Linked DNA regions of Coturnix japonica. The main gene of each other region encodes a partner of the protein of the gene in region 3 in a complex. Links are inferred from orthologs where the notes say so. Each region holds a gene or a part of one and is shown on either strand. Other genes may lie near its edges. The genes, in order: SFN, RAB29 and LRRK2.

Evidence for each region.
Region 1: the proteins of LRRK2 (region 3) and SFN are in contact, whole or in part, in a crystal structure (PDB 5MYC), measured with the Homo sapiens proteins. The link is inferred for Coturnix japonica from reciprocal best matches to the Homo sapiens genes LRRK2 and SFN. Residues at the interface, in NP_940980.4 of Homo sapiens: Lys907, Ser908, Asn909, Ser910, Ile911, Ser912, Val913, Gly914, Glu915, Phe916, Tyr917, Arg918; in NP_006133.1 of Homo sapiens: Lys11, Glu14, Glu39, Asn42, Leu43, Ser45, Val46, Lys49, Asn50, Arg56, Arg60, Phe119, Lys122, Arg129, Tyr130, Pro167, Ile168, Gly171, Leu174, Asn175, Val178, Tyr181, Glu182, Asp215, Leu218, Ile219, Leu222, Asp225, Asn226, Leu229.
Region 2: the proteins of LRRK2 (region 3) and RAB29 are in contact, whole or in part, in a cryo-EM structure (PDB 8FO2), measured with the Homo sapiens proteins. The link is inferred for Coturnix japonica from reciprocal best matches to the Homo sapiens genes LRRK2 and RAB29. Residues at the interface, in NP_940980.4 of Homo sapiens: Arg361, Lys362, Arg399, Met402, Leu403, Leu406, Met407, His408, Leu437, Ser438, Lys439, Gly440, His442, Leu443, Asn444, Glu447; in NP_001129134.1 of Homo sapiens: Leu7, Val42, Asp43, Phe44, Ala45, Leu46, Arg58, Gln60, Trp62, Leu76, Tyr77.

What each region holds. Positions count from the first base shown.
Region 1 is NC_029538.1:1,604,928-1,609,287, forward strand, and holds SFN (14-3-3 protein sigma), read left to right. Parts: upstream 1-1,674; 5' UTR 1,675-1,827; coding exon 1,828-2,568; 3' UTR 2,569-3,067; downstream 3,068-4,360. UniProt on the Homo sapiens protein: Adapter protein implicated in the regulation of a large spectrum of both general and specialized signaling pathways. Binds to a large number of partners, usually by recognition of a phosphoserine or phosphothreonine motif.
Region 2 is NC_029541.1:2,557,683-2,563,049, forward strand, and holds the start of RAB29 (ras-related protein Rab-7L1), read right to left. Parts: upstream 3,579-5,367; 5' UTR 3,555-3,578; coding exon 3,431-3,554; intron 3,279-3,430; coding exon 3,207-3,278; intron 2,754-3,206; coding exon 2,572-2,753; intron 2,347-2,571; coding exon 2,225-2,346; intron 1,897-2,224; coding exon 1,779-1,896; 3' UTR 1-1,778. UniProt on the Homo sapiens protein: The small GTPases Rab are key regulators in vesicle trafficking. Essential for maintaining the integrity of the endosome-trans-Golgi network structure.
Region 3 is NC_029516.1:13,457,128-13,461,343, forward strand, and holds part of LRRK2 (leucine-rich repeat serine/threonine-protein kinase 2), read right to left. Parts: intron 3,459-4,216; coding exon 3,306-3,458; intron 2,598-3,305; coding exon 2,389-2,597; intron 1,000-2,388; coding exon 925-999; intron 1-924. UniProt on the Homo sapiens protein: Serine/threonine-protein kinase which phosphorylates a broad range of proteins involved in multiple processes such as neuronal plasticity, innate immunity, autophagy, and vesicle trafficking.

The DNA.
Region 1 (4,360 bases), on a different chromosome or scaffold from region 3:
TCTGGCAGCACCCAAACCCACGAGCTCCATGCTGTGCCCTGGGGGGGACCTGCCCCCATACACAGCCCCATTTGTGGTCTCTCCTATGGGGTAGGGGGCAGAAGTGCATTCTGTTCAAAACCACAGCCCCTGTGCATCCATGAGGTCGAGCAGTGCTCACGGGGGGTCCACTTTGAGCCCCAAACTCAACAGCCCCCACCATGTGGCTGGATGGGGACTGGGACCGCATAAGCTTGGGACCAAGAGCTGCCAGCCCTGAGCAACCCCAATGGGGAGAGGATGTCAGGGATGGGGCTGAGGGTGCTGGCACAGCGCTGGTGAAGCCCTTGGCTCCATCCCCACGTGCTGCCCGCCGCACCCTGCCCTGTGCCGGCGTGTGGGAACAGGCTGAGAGCGAAACTGCAGCGCAACGCCGAGCTCAGATCCTAATCGGGGCCGCCAGCGCTGCTGGGCAGAACTCGAATCAAAATGAGACTGACAAAAAAGAAGGAATAATAATCCCAATTCTTCCAGTACAGCGTAAAGGGAGAGAAAAGAGCCCCGGTGGGATGAGCGGAGAGGGTGGGGGACATGGGGATGGGTGGTGGAGAAGCCTTAATGGGGATCCAGTGGGGTTTGTGGGTGTGGAGCTGCCTTGGGTTTGGGGATGTCCAATGATGGTTCAATGGGGGGGTTGGGGTTGAGTACTTGCAAGTGCCAGGGCAATTCCCCCTGAGCAGGCAGGGTGGAGGAGTTGGGAATGCCCCAATCCCAATCCTGGCCCTGATCCCTGCAGCAGTGCTGGGGTAACGTGCTGCTCCTCCTGCCTCGATTTCCCCACCAGTGGGAATAAATACCAGCCCTTCAAGCCCTTGCAATCACCGACAAGTTAATCATCATATAAAAATGACAGCGATGGGATTTTTGGGGAGGAGACCATTTTTACAGCCAGGTTTATTCCCCGTGCTGTTTCTCTAAGGGTGGTTGGGATGGGGGCACTGGGTGCTGCCGCTTTCCTGCTTCACCCCAATGTGACGACCCCACTGCTCCCTGTTCTGAGCACTCCTGGCAGATGGGGAAGGGTTCCCCCATTGGTCCATGGTCCCCCATTGATCTGGGATCTCCATTGATTCCTGGTCTCCCATTTATTTGGGGTCCCCCATTGATCCGGTTTCCCCCATTAACTCAGGGTCCCCCATTGATCTGGGGATCCCATTGACTGATCCCAAGTCTTCCAAGTATTTGGGGTTTCCCATTGATTTCGGGATCCCACTGATTCCAGGTCTCCCGTGGGTCTGGGTATCCCATTGATCCAGGCTCTCCCACTGGTTCAGGCTCCCCCACTGATCTGGAGTCCCCACTGATTCTAGGTCTCCCATTCATTTGGGGTTTCCCATTGATCCGGGGTCCCCAGTTGATCTTCCCTCCTCCATTGTTTCAGAGTCTCCCACTGACATAGGATGTCCCATTGATCCAGACTTCTCCATTGATCCAGTGGGACATCCCATTGACACAGGGGGGGCTCACCATGAACTCCCTGAACACATCCTCTCCCTCCCGGCACCCACCTGATCCAGGGCAGGGTGGGTGCCACCCGCTCACCCCTTCCCCATCACCCTGTGCCTCGGGGCATGATGACTCACGGCAATTTGCTTTTTAAGGGCGGGCTCTGCGGGGAGGAAGCAGAGGAGGAGGAGGCCGCTCCTTCAGCCTCGTTGGCTCCTCCTGCTCTTGCTCGGGGCTCCGACGCTCAGCCAAAAGCGAATCGGGGCGGTGAAGCTCAGCAGAGGCTCCGACGGCTCCCGGCCCCACTCCTCGTCTCATCCTGCTCCTCATCCGCCCTCAGCCATGGCAAGAAACCACCAAGTGCAGAAAGCCAAGCTGGCCGAGCAGGCTGAGCGCTATGAGGACATGGCGGACTTCATGAAGGCGGTGGTGGAGCATGGAGACGAGCTGTCCAACGAGGAGCGCAACCTCCTCTCCGTCGCCTATAAGAACGTGGTGGGCTGCCAGCGCTCGGCGTGGAGGGTCATCTCCAGCATCGAGCACAAAACCGAGGAGGGAGACGACAAAGCGCAGCTGGTGAATGAATACAGGGAGAAGGTGGAAGAGGAGCTGAAGGGCGTCTGCAACGTGGTGCTGGGCTTGCTGGAGAAGCACCTCATCAAGAAGGCCGGAGATGCAGAGAGCAAAGTGTTCTACCTGAAGATGAAGGGAGACTATTACCGATACCTGGCTGAGGTGGCCTCCGGCAACGACCGCAAGGAGACGATCGACAGCGCCCAGAAGGCGTACCAAGAGGCCATGGACATCAGCAAAAAGGAGATGCAGCCCACGAACCCCATCCGCCTGGGGCTGGCCCTCAACTTCTCCGTCTTCCACTACGAGATCGCCAACGCCCCCGAGCAGGCCATCTCGCTGGCCAAGACCACCTTCGACGAGGCCATGGGGGACCTGCACACGCTCAGCGAAGACTCCTACAAGGACAGCACCCTCATCATGCAGCTGCTCAGGGACAACCTGACGCTATGGACAGCCGAGTGCGCGGGTGAAGACGGCGGCGAGGCTGGCGAAGAGCCCAAGAACTGAACGGCCCCCAATGCAGCTGGGGTCCATCCCCCACCTCCTTCCTCCTCCCCTCCCTCCCAGACTCCCCCCCCTTTCCCCTTCCCCTTCCCGAAGCCCTTCGGTGTCTTTTCCTTTTGTTTTGTTCCTTTTTTAAGGAGTGGGGAAGGTATTTCGCCCCCCCACCCTTACCCCCCCTCCAGTTCTGGGAGTGGGGTCCATATGTTTGCCCTTTGGCAGGGCCTCCCCTTTCCTTCTCCCCCCCCCCATGTTCTTGTCATGCTCCCCTCACCCCTTTAACACTTTGTTTGGGGGATACCCCAGCGTAGCTTAGGGGGGGCCCTAGCCCTCTGTCTTGGGGGGCTAGAGCCGTGCCGCTGGTCCCTTGGGGGCAATGGGAGGAGGTGATGGGACGGGATGGGGAGAAAGGGGAGGGGGGGGGTTGATGTGCCCCCCACCCGGATGGAGGATTGCGAATTGCCGAAGCCTCTGTGTGGCTCCAATAAACCATCTCGTGCACGTCTGCCTCTGTGGTCGCCTCATCTCTCCTGTCGTGCACAAGCCCAGGCAGCTCCTGCAGCTCCCACAGCCGGTCCCATTGCGTGCCACGCCATGCTGGGGAGCACTCGGGGCCTCCAAAGTGCAGGTCTGGCTGCCTGCAGCCCCTCCCAGCCCCGCCATGGGGTGTGGGGGTACTCAGCCAGCCCCAGACCTCAGGGACGGGTCTCAGAATGGGCTTTCTAGGTGGGTTTTCCATAGGGAGAGTATGTCCCAGGTCTCCAGCCCTGCAATTGTATGTCCCCATTCCCATGGTGTCTCCATCCCTTTGGTTTTCCCATTCTTGTACTGTCCTCATCCCCAAGATGTTCCTATGGTGTCCCCACCCCCATAGTATTTCCATCCCCGTAGGGTTTCCATCCCCATGGTGTCCCCATTCCATAGTGTCCCCATCCTCATAGTGTCCCTATCCTCATTATGTTTCCACCCTTATGGTCTTCCCATCCCTATGATGTCCCCATCCCTACAATGTCCCCATCCCCATCTTGATGTCCCCACCTCCATGATATCTCCATCCCCATGGTGTCCCCACCCAAACCACGCAACCCACAGTGTCCCAAACCCCATTACTGGGGCTCCGTGCAGACAGGGGGATGTTTCAGCTCTTCCCCTCCAGCACTGACACGGAGCTGTCACAGGGGAGGTGACAGCATCCCACCGAGGTGAGGACATCCCCATGGAGGTGTGGATGTGCCGGCGCTGGAGAAAGCTCAGCACTTCTGGCCCTGGCTCTCAGCCACAGCGAAGGGTGCAGCTCTGGGAGCGCGAGTTTCAACACGAACAGTTAATTACACTGAAATCCAGTCCTGGCAGCCTGGGCCGTGAGCTCATCAGATGGAGAGCAGCAGGGCTGGGCCGTGCTGGGCAGGACCCGGCTTTGATGGGAAATGGGGTGGCAGGAGGAAGCCGAGTGACTCAGGGTGTGCCGGTTCAACGGGGTCTTCACTTGGGGACATTGGGGACATAGTGCTGAGCTGTGCTTTGGCACGGTCCAGTGTTGGGTATGGGGAAACTGAGGCACGACCCTGCGGTGGGGAGGATGGGGCCGTGGGAATGCTCTGGCTGTGGGAGGATGAGCGGAGCAGAACCTGCTCTCCCAGCCCCACATCCCGTGGCAGAGCCGGCTTAGAGCCTGCAGGGCAGCACTGGGAGCCCCCAACCCAGAGCTGAGGAAATACATGAGGCTGAGTATGAGGATGGGGTTGGGGTCCCTCAGTGCCATCAGTTCCCTCTGAGGGGGAAATAAGGGGCTCCCACG
Region 2 (5,367 bases), on a different chromosome or scaffold from region 3:
CCATGGAAACCACAGCTGTGCAGTTCTTGCTCAGTTCCAAGCTTTCGTGGCTGCATTAGTTGGTCCTGGGCAGGGACCTCCACTGCAAGCCTCATCCCCTTCACCTGTATGGGCAGGTCTAACTCCTGGCCTTTGCTCAATTAGACAGCAATCAATAAATAATACACAAGTCTTTACAGTTTCATGACAGATCCTTCTAAAAATCAGACCCTTTTTTCTCTTTTCCCTGCCATGTTTAGGAATTAAAACACAACAAGACAGTTCAATTTTGCTCCTAACCACCCCTACACACTTCGTGTGTTTCTCCAGTTAACCCGAAGGCACAGGGAAAGGTATATTTAAGTGCTTATAAGGCTGAATTTGGCAATATTTACACAACAGAATCTTAGCCTGGATATTTGGAACATAACATAGGCCGAGGTTTTGTAGCCCTTCCTCACAGCTTATCTTTCTCAACCCCAGATAACAAAAGGCAATCAGTTCTTGTTCTTACTCTGCATCCACAGATGATGGATGTTCTTAAGGGAAAGTTTTTCTGCCTTTTAATCTTTTGGCACACAGAGATGTAAACTATGAGAGAAAACATCATTGAAGAGCACTTGTTTAAACCCTAACCTCAACACAGGCAGGACACAACTCTATAGCACAGCAGGATGATGACAAGAGCCCACAGTGCTGCATAACTGCAGCCTTCCAGACTGGCCTTCCTTATAGCTCCTCCAAGATAACTCTAATGTGTTCTTACAGTTTGTGGTTGGCAAGAGCCATTCATAGCTAGGCACACCTGGGGGATACATTAGGAAAAGCAGGCACAAAAAAAGCAGCTGGGGAGCAGATTTCTTCATTTCCTTTTGCCCTGCAAAGTCTTTGCTTGCCCCTTAAAGCACTAAACCAGCAGTGGGCTTCCAGCACCAAAGCCTGCCACCAAAGTCACTGCACTGTAATGGTGGGAAGGTGATGCAGCAGCAATTGCAAAGCTTAGTGAGATGGTAGGACGCAGGGTGTGCTAAAAGTGAAAGGAACTGTTGTTCTGGCACACAAAGGAGTTTACAACCCATTCCTCATTCAGCTCCCAGTGTCCTAATAAAGCAGCAGTGGAAGAGAACACATGGGATTGTGCTAGACAGAGGGTAAGAGTGAAGGAACAGAAGGCAACTGGGCAACGCTGACAACTCCGCAGTCAGCACACACATGATTTAGGGCTGTGCTCCATCTCAGATCCACACCTTAAGGACATGGGATGACAGTGCTGAGATGTGTTGGTCTCCAGCAACAGGCAGACAGAGGTGTAAAGTTCCAGAGCACAAAATGAAGGGTTTGCTGTAATCTCACCCCAGGAACCCACAGGAGCAGAGAGAACGATTCAACTTCATGCGCATCAAATGAGGGTTACTGCAGCACTCTGGAATGGTTGCCTCTGTGGATCAGGTGCAGGTCTTGGGGGATAAAAGGTACCAAAGGTGCAACAGCATTAAAAATACACGTTCCACGTCCTTCACCCTGCATGACACAGGCTGTCATATAGGAGAAGATGAAGAAAAGTGCTCAGTGTTTTAAAAGATGAATCCCAGCCATGTGCTTGAGCACAGACTGTGCCGTGCTCCCACTGCTGCTGTGCTGGAAGAAAGAGGGCTCCTTTCCTCACTCTTTCCATTCCTCCTTCCAAGCCATTGCAGCAATGCTTAGTGAGTATGAATGTAAAGAGAGGACAGTTCACTATCTTTGAAAACAGACAAAAAAAGGGGTAGAAAACAGAAGCAGATGGAGCAGTCAGTGCATCAGCAGCACGCCCAGCCCGGCGGGGACGTCTCTTTGATATTAATATAATCCCCCCTCCAGGAAGAAGCAGAACTTCCATCACCAGTGGATGAGGACATCATCTTCTCAATCAGGACTCTGGAAGACAAATAGATGTGAATTAGGGCATTGGAGCACAGAGAAGAACAAAACAAAACAGAACAACAACAGAACCAAAGCAACAACTCCTGGTTGGACACAAAACTCCAGAGCTTTAAGGAGCAGAGGATCAGCTTCCTGGGTACAAGCTGCTTGACCAAGGGCAGCACAGCGTCTGACCTCTCTGAATTCAGTTTCCCTTCAGGAGATTCACTTGCATGTTATTGCTGCTATCTGTTACTTGATGACAGCATCTCCCCTTACCTCAGCCAGCACTGTCTGAAGGAGGGAATTAACTCTTGCAGTGTGCCCCAATTGCTGTTCCTACCTCATAGACTCGTTAATGTTCTTGTTCTCCTTGACGGATGTTTCCACCCAACCAGAAAAGCCATTTTCTTTGCTGAAACGATCCACTTCTTCTCTTGTCACTGCCCACGGGGAAAGGTCACACTGTAAAACAGGAGTCAGCCAGGTGAGGCTCAACCTTTCCATTCCCAAGCTGGGAGGGGAACTGTTGGGCAGTGTTGGGCAGTAGGAGGAGAGCTTTGAATCTCCTCAATCCCAACCTGACACAGAGCTCTCAGGGCAAGGTTCTTCTGGAGGTGTTCAAGGCCATGTTGGATGGGGCCCTGGGCTGGTATTCAGTGTGAGGTTGGTGGCCCTGTCTGTGCTCACCTTGTTGGCCAGCAGCAGGCACGGCACAGGGCTCCCATCTGGAAGCGTCAGCTTGCTGTCCAAGTCCTGCTTCCACTTCTGGCTGTTGCTGAAGGTGCTGACATTGGTGACATCAAACATGATGATACAGGCTGATGCCTCCCTGTAGTACAGCCGGGTCATGGATGTGAAGCGTTCCTGCCCTTCAGGATCAAAAAAAAGACAAAAATCCCCATTTTTAAGTTCCCATTTTTAAGACTTACTCAACCAAATAAGTGCCCACAGCAGGACTTTGCTTCCTCAGCTCCAAACTCCATTTAGGAAACAGAGGTGCACCATAATGAGAAAGCATTTATGCAGCCCCCACTGAGCACTGCATGGGGTGAGGGATTCTGCTTTATCTTCCCAAATATCTTTTCAGGACCCTTTGATTTTTAATGCACTTCTCAGCACTGAAACTGAAATCTGCTTCTTTGCTGCAATCCCTTCCCTGCAAACTTCTCCTTCCTGTTTTCTTTATGAAGATCCCAGACACCCAAACCCAAAGCCCTGCATCCCAACCTGCTCTGCACCCTAAAATCCCACCCATCCCAACACATGGATGGATGGAGCCTCATCCCCACCTGGATGCACTTTAGGGCTCTATATGAACATACCTGCAATGTCCCACAGCTGAAGCCGCACCGTCTCCGACTCAGACCACTGGACCACCTTCAGTGCAAAGTCCACTGTGAACCCCCATAGGAAAAGAAACTCCTTTAAGGATTAAATCATCAGAACCCCCCCCCCCCCCAACTCTTTACAGCTTCATTTACATCCACGTTACACAAGGAACCACCGAGCTCACCCATCCCAACCCCCCCCTCAAGGCTGTGCTCACCTCCCACAGTAGATTTGTAGTGCCGGTTGAAGCTGTCGTTGGCGTAGCGCTGCACCAGCGATGTTTTACCCACCGTAGCATCCCCGACCACCAGCACTTTAAACATTCGGTCCCTCTGCCCCATCTTTCTATCCCCCCCCCCCCCAAAACCCACCCCCTCCTCCCTCCCCCCACCCTCGGGTGCAGCGATCACGTGATGGTCAGGCGGAACAGCGCAGTTCCGGAGCTTGTTGGGGCGGGGAAAGATCGGAATAGAACGGAATGGGGTGGAATAGAACGGGACAGAACGGAATGGGATGGAATAGAACGGGACAGAATGGAATAGAGCCGCATGGAACAGAACGGGAGACGACAGGATAGAATAGAACGGGATAGAATAGCACAGAATGGAACGGCACAGAGGGCATCCCACCAAGCCTGCCCTACTGTCTAACCACCCCCATAGGACAGCCCTTATTGCTTCCTGACCCCCCCATACACAGCTCTATGCTGCTCCCATTCAGTCCATAGGAGCACAGAACCAACCCCCCCCCTCCCCCCCCCAGGGCTGTTATCAGTGCTGCAAAACTGTGTGCTTCTAAGCTGCTCCTGAGATGGAAGAAAGAAGGGCACCCAAGTCCGCATAAATAAATGTCATCTTTATTTAAGGAAATATAATTTATCAGCAGTTGACATCCGTCAATCCAGTTACAGTAGCTATAAATAATTAAGACAAGTCTTTGCTTTGTTTTTTCTTTAATACAAAGAGAGCTCAACCCGGCGTTTCTCATTTGCAGTCAGCTGTAAGGTGGGCTGTGCAACCGAGTGCAAGTGATGGGTAAAGCTTTTGGCTGTCCATGTGCTGAGATGCTAAATGAGATCCTGCCCCATCCCATTCACCCCACAGCACCTCAGCACCCATAGGAGACCATGGGAGATCCTCCCTCTGACACCACTGCTTTCTCAGGGAACCAAACCCTGGCATCACAGCACAGAGCAGTAATGGCACGGCCATACACAAACATGGCAGCAGAAGGAAATCTCACATCCCACCCCTCAGCATCAGGCAGGGATAGGAGGTGAGAGCAGAGGATGCTGGAGGAGCCCCCAGGCTCAGACTTCTTGCTTTGGGGTATGAGTTTGGTTGGTTGTTCTGATGTTTTGGTTTTCCTTTGTGTTTTCGTGCAGAGCTGTGGCTGAATCAGACCTGCGAGCAGCCAAAGTCAACTACAGGAGACAGAAGGAGGGTCAGAGCTACTGCCACTAAGGGGACAGCACAGAGATGGAGAGGGGGAAGGCGAGCCTCACATCAGCAAGGTGAGGAGGGGAGCATTGCCTCTTTGTGCCAGAAATGCTGAAGGTAACCTAAGGGAGGAACTGAAGCCATTCAAGACAGAAGAAGAAAAGCAGCAGCCTGTAGGTGACCCCAGATCCTGCAGCTCTCAGGTGATGGCCCTGGATCTGCAGGCAAAGAGGAAATGCAGCAGCACAAAAGGCACAGGGCTGCAGTGTGAGCTCTGGTCCTTTAAGGGCATCTCCCTGTGCTTTGGGCACTGCAGCACCAAAACTGGGTCCCATGGGACACTATGATCCCCACCCCTACCAACATTAGGAGCTCTCTCCCATGCATGCAGTTTGCATCAGAGCCTGCTGAGCACATCATTGAGTGAAGCTTCCAAGTCAATAAGACTCGCTTAAATAAACTGTGCTCAGCTCACTGAATTGATTTATATCCAAATGGGAAAAGTAAAAAGCTCTGACAGCACCCAGGAAGGTGATTGTATTACAAACGCCTCAGTCACACAACCAGAACTGGTTTTCTCTCATTATGCTGCTGCATGAGAATCCCCCCGGGGAGCACAGGTGGAGGAACGGCAGGTTTTCCTGGCCACCTCCCAGCTGGGCAACACAAAAAGCAGGAGGGAAACAAGGCTCACAGTGCTCAGCCCCTCTGCTGG
Region 3 (4,216 bases):
TGCCCACAGGGAATAACATGTTGAAGTATTATTCCCTTCCTCTTTATTTACATATTTGAAGCCTGTTATCATATCTGTTGGATGCTTTCCTAATATTAAGTAATTTATCTTCAGCATTTTCCCAGAGGCCGCATTTCTCTCCTCTGGACTATTCCTAATAGTTCAGATCATTCAGCATTGTCCCAGATGGATGCACTCCTGCAGCAGAGGTCTTATCAGAGCTCAGCAGAGCACAGGAATTAATTCCCATGTCTTAGAGAAGCCACTTTTCTATTGGCATAAGAAAGGTTTTTGTCCCTTCTGCAGGAACATGACGCTGTTGACTCATGTTCCACGTGTGATCAAAATAAACCTTATTTTCAGCACCACTGCTTAAGCCGACCATTTCCTCCTGTTGGTACAGCTGATCCCTCCTAATTACGTTTGAGGTCTCACATCTGTCCTTACTGAACTGTATCCTATTCCTTCCAGACCATTTGTTCTATCTGTCAAGGTTGCAGTGAATTCCGGTCCTGTCCTCCACTGTGCTCGTGGCTCCTCTGAGCTAAGTGCTGTCTGCCAACATGAAAAGCAGACGCGTTATTCCTTCATCCACATCATTCACCATAACACTGAGTATTCCTGGAGGCCCCTCTCGAAACCCGTTTGACACGCTCCACAATTAGACATGGGCAGTTATTCTCCAAATAGAGTTTTCTAGAAAATTATGTGCCCTCCAAAGAGTAGCTTCATCCGATCAATTCAGGCAACTGAATTGTTTGTATGGAGCCCAGAAACATAACCAATGACAAAAACGAATAATAATTTTCAAAAGAGTAGATCAAATGTTGATCGCCAGCTCTCCAAACACACCTCAGAGGGTGGCCGAGCGTCATAGTTTCTGCTTCACTAATAATACAAATTAATAAAGCACAGTTCAGGTACCTTTGTGATATTTGTCATCTTCGGTGTCGCTCTTGTAGCAGTATCCCAGAACCACCACCACGTTCTTCAGGCTCCCTTTTGCAAAGAAAGAAAAGGTCAGATTTTAATTTTGATGGGAGGTTTGTAATTGAAGGACAGAAAGAGGATCTTACAAACGCTGCTAAGATGACAGAAACCACAGTTTTGCTTTGGGCCCTTTATTCACAGTCATCCACCGTGAGGAAAAAAACCAACATGAAAATAAACAATACAGTTAATGTCTCTGTTTAATGTAGGGGTTGACCAGAGTTCAAAGCCTGGATCAGCTGTTCAGCCTGCTGAACGAGCCTAAGAAGAAAGCACCCTGCTATTGACCATGTGCAGAGGCAGCACTCGCAGAAAACAGGCATCACAGTGAAGGCAGAAGAGGCTGCAAACACCGTTCCAATGGTCAGCAGAAAGCGCCAGATACTACAGATACTTACATATAAACTGTCCTCTAAGGATGATGTCTTGTGTGTCATATGTGAATTGTCAAGTGACAGAGTTAGAAAAAGGCACATTCACTAATCCATACATAAACTGAAGACAAAATTGATATCTCAACAAAATCCCTTTTTTTCTGAAAATAGTTACATTGCCATTATATATTTTCAAGTTAAAATGAAGAAGGGTTCAGCAGCCATGGCACCATTTCCAGGGCTTCTGTGCTTACAAAGTCTTTGAATGTAGGAGAAAAGCCCGGCCTTTATAAATAATTGCTGCGAGAAAATGATCAAAAGGAAAAAGTACACATCAAACGGCAGGGATCAGCCCCTTGCCATCCTTGAGTTGTGTGCAAATGCAACCAATCTATTTCTCATGAAGTATTAATTTTTCTCTCAATAAAATTTTGATTAAAAATGCCATGTAGTCTGGAAGCCAAGCATATGAGACTCAAGGCTTAAGTCACACCATATTACTTTATAGGATATAATCGTCCTATCAATGAGAATAACGCGAGGCAGAAACCTTATTTTTATAGTAACTATTCTATCTATCTGTACAAAACACTAAAAATAAGAGTCCCTTTACAGCACTAATACTGTAGCTATCAGGAGAGCTTCACCAGGAGAGAAACCAGAAGCACAAAACTTAAGATGGGGAATCAACACAGACAGACAGAGATTAAGACAATGCCTATAGGACAGAGGACAGTGAGAGCTATGACAAAGCATGGCACAAAGGATACAGTGAGGGTGGGTGTGTTCTTGTGCTGACCAGTGATAAGCCAGAGGAGAGCTGTTACTTTCTATGGCAGCCTGTTGGTATTCATCTAACACTGGTCTGTCTGACACAGAGTGAAGTTGACAGCAGTAGAATAGTATGAATGAACAGCACACGGAAAATGCTAATCTGTTCCTGGAACACCACATCAGACAGAAGCCAGTGATCCTAATCTTGGCCCCAATTTCAAAGTGCTTGTCATTTGATGGCTTTACTTACCTAGCTGAGCTGTTAGCATGACTCGAATAGAGTCACAGAAGTTATCTATAACCCGTACAGGGCGACGTGTTGATAAATCAAGTAGCAGGATATGTCCTCCTCCTGTCCCTACCCACAGTGCAGTATTTTTCTGCAGGCAAATTGTCTTCACTCTTCCAGAATAAGCAACTTTATGCTTTGATTCTTTGTTCAGTTTTTCCACTTCATCCCTAAAAGCGTGGAGAGAAATTGTATTAAATTTTGGTGGCACCCATCCCATAGCTGCCAGAACGTCTCCCTCAGTGCCAGCCTTTTAAATGATCGTTCATCAAGACAACTGCAAATAGCTCATTCTGATTTAATTTAAACAATCTGAGATGAAAACTACTGGACTTCTAAGAGCCAGACAGCGTGCTGGAAAATGTCTTTAAATAGGAGGCAGCTTCACTTCTCTGTTTTCCCTCAGTTTGTGGGAGGAGGAGGAGTACACGTAAAGCTCCTCCTAGGCGTCACCATAAAAATCAAATGGAAATAGAACACTAAGGAAGAGGAACAATTTAAAGGCAAATGTAAATTGCTGTCACTGCTACTAAAACTCTGACGTAAGGAGAGGACATTTTTTATTAGGGGATGCAGGCAGCGAAACTGAGCACAAGGCATCATTATCTTACCTGATCAGCTAAGGACAGCAAAAGACTTTCTTCTTCAGTAGAGTTAAATTAATCTTCTTGAAATCACAGCTTGTGAAATATATAAAGGTCTTAGAGAAATGAAATTCCAGAAGAGAGAAAAGAAATCCTCCTAATGATCTGGGCAAGCCCCTTATCTCCAGAAACATGAGGTATATATATCAAGCACATCATATCAGTGCACTGGAGAAGGCAACCTTAAGTCAGCTTTCTGTGCAACAGGTCGTCAGTTGGAAAAAAAGGACTTACTTCAGAAAATGTGCACAGTCAATTAGTTCAGAAAGTTTTTCCGTCTTCTTGTCCCAGATTTCCACAAAATGGCTGTTTTTCTTTGCCAAGTAGATGGATTTATCTACTGCTATGGAAATAATGTTTGCATCACTGTAAGCGTTATGACAGAACCTAGAAGAGAAAAGAACTCCAGTCAGAATCACAGGAAACATCCAGCAGAAAAAAAAAAGCCCTGACTATAATCGAGTTGTCTGTAACTCTAAGGAGAATAGTTCAGCCTTAAATCCCAAGTGGGCTGGGATACAATTGCAAGGGCTCGCTGAAACCTTCCTGCACTTTGCTGTGAATTCTCACAGCAGTGAGGTTGATCTCCCTGGAGATGTATTCCAAATCTCTCCTACCGATCTGCTCAAATCACAAATACTCACATCACAGCAAGGCAAACTCCACCTTTTTTTTTTTAACCACCTTTTCAATATCTGAAGCTGCCTGACAGCTGCTGCAGGGCCCACAAGACCATAAAGGTCACTTACCAAGGATGACTCAGCCTAAAAAGCAGCAATAAGATTGAGATCACTTTGCTCTGCTCATCTCAGTGCAGCCAGCTGCCTTTTGGTCTGCTTTTCTCTACATACGAATTTGGCTCTAATGCCAAATCTACACATCAAACAATTGCTAGCCCTGTAATTAATCAGAGTTATCTTATTCCACTGCCTCTTCAGTTTATCTCGGAGAGCAGCTCCAAATCACAGACACCTGACAACAGACTCAGCAACACTGCTGCTTTCCCTAATGTTACTTGTTCCTGACAATTTCATTTCCTAAGCTGCACACAGTTTTGCTCCTACAAAGCTTGAAGTATCCCTCTGACATGCTGTTCATCTTGCCACTGAACTGAATTCTACCGAAGTTTAGGTTTCTTCTGTTAT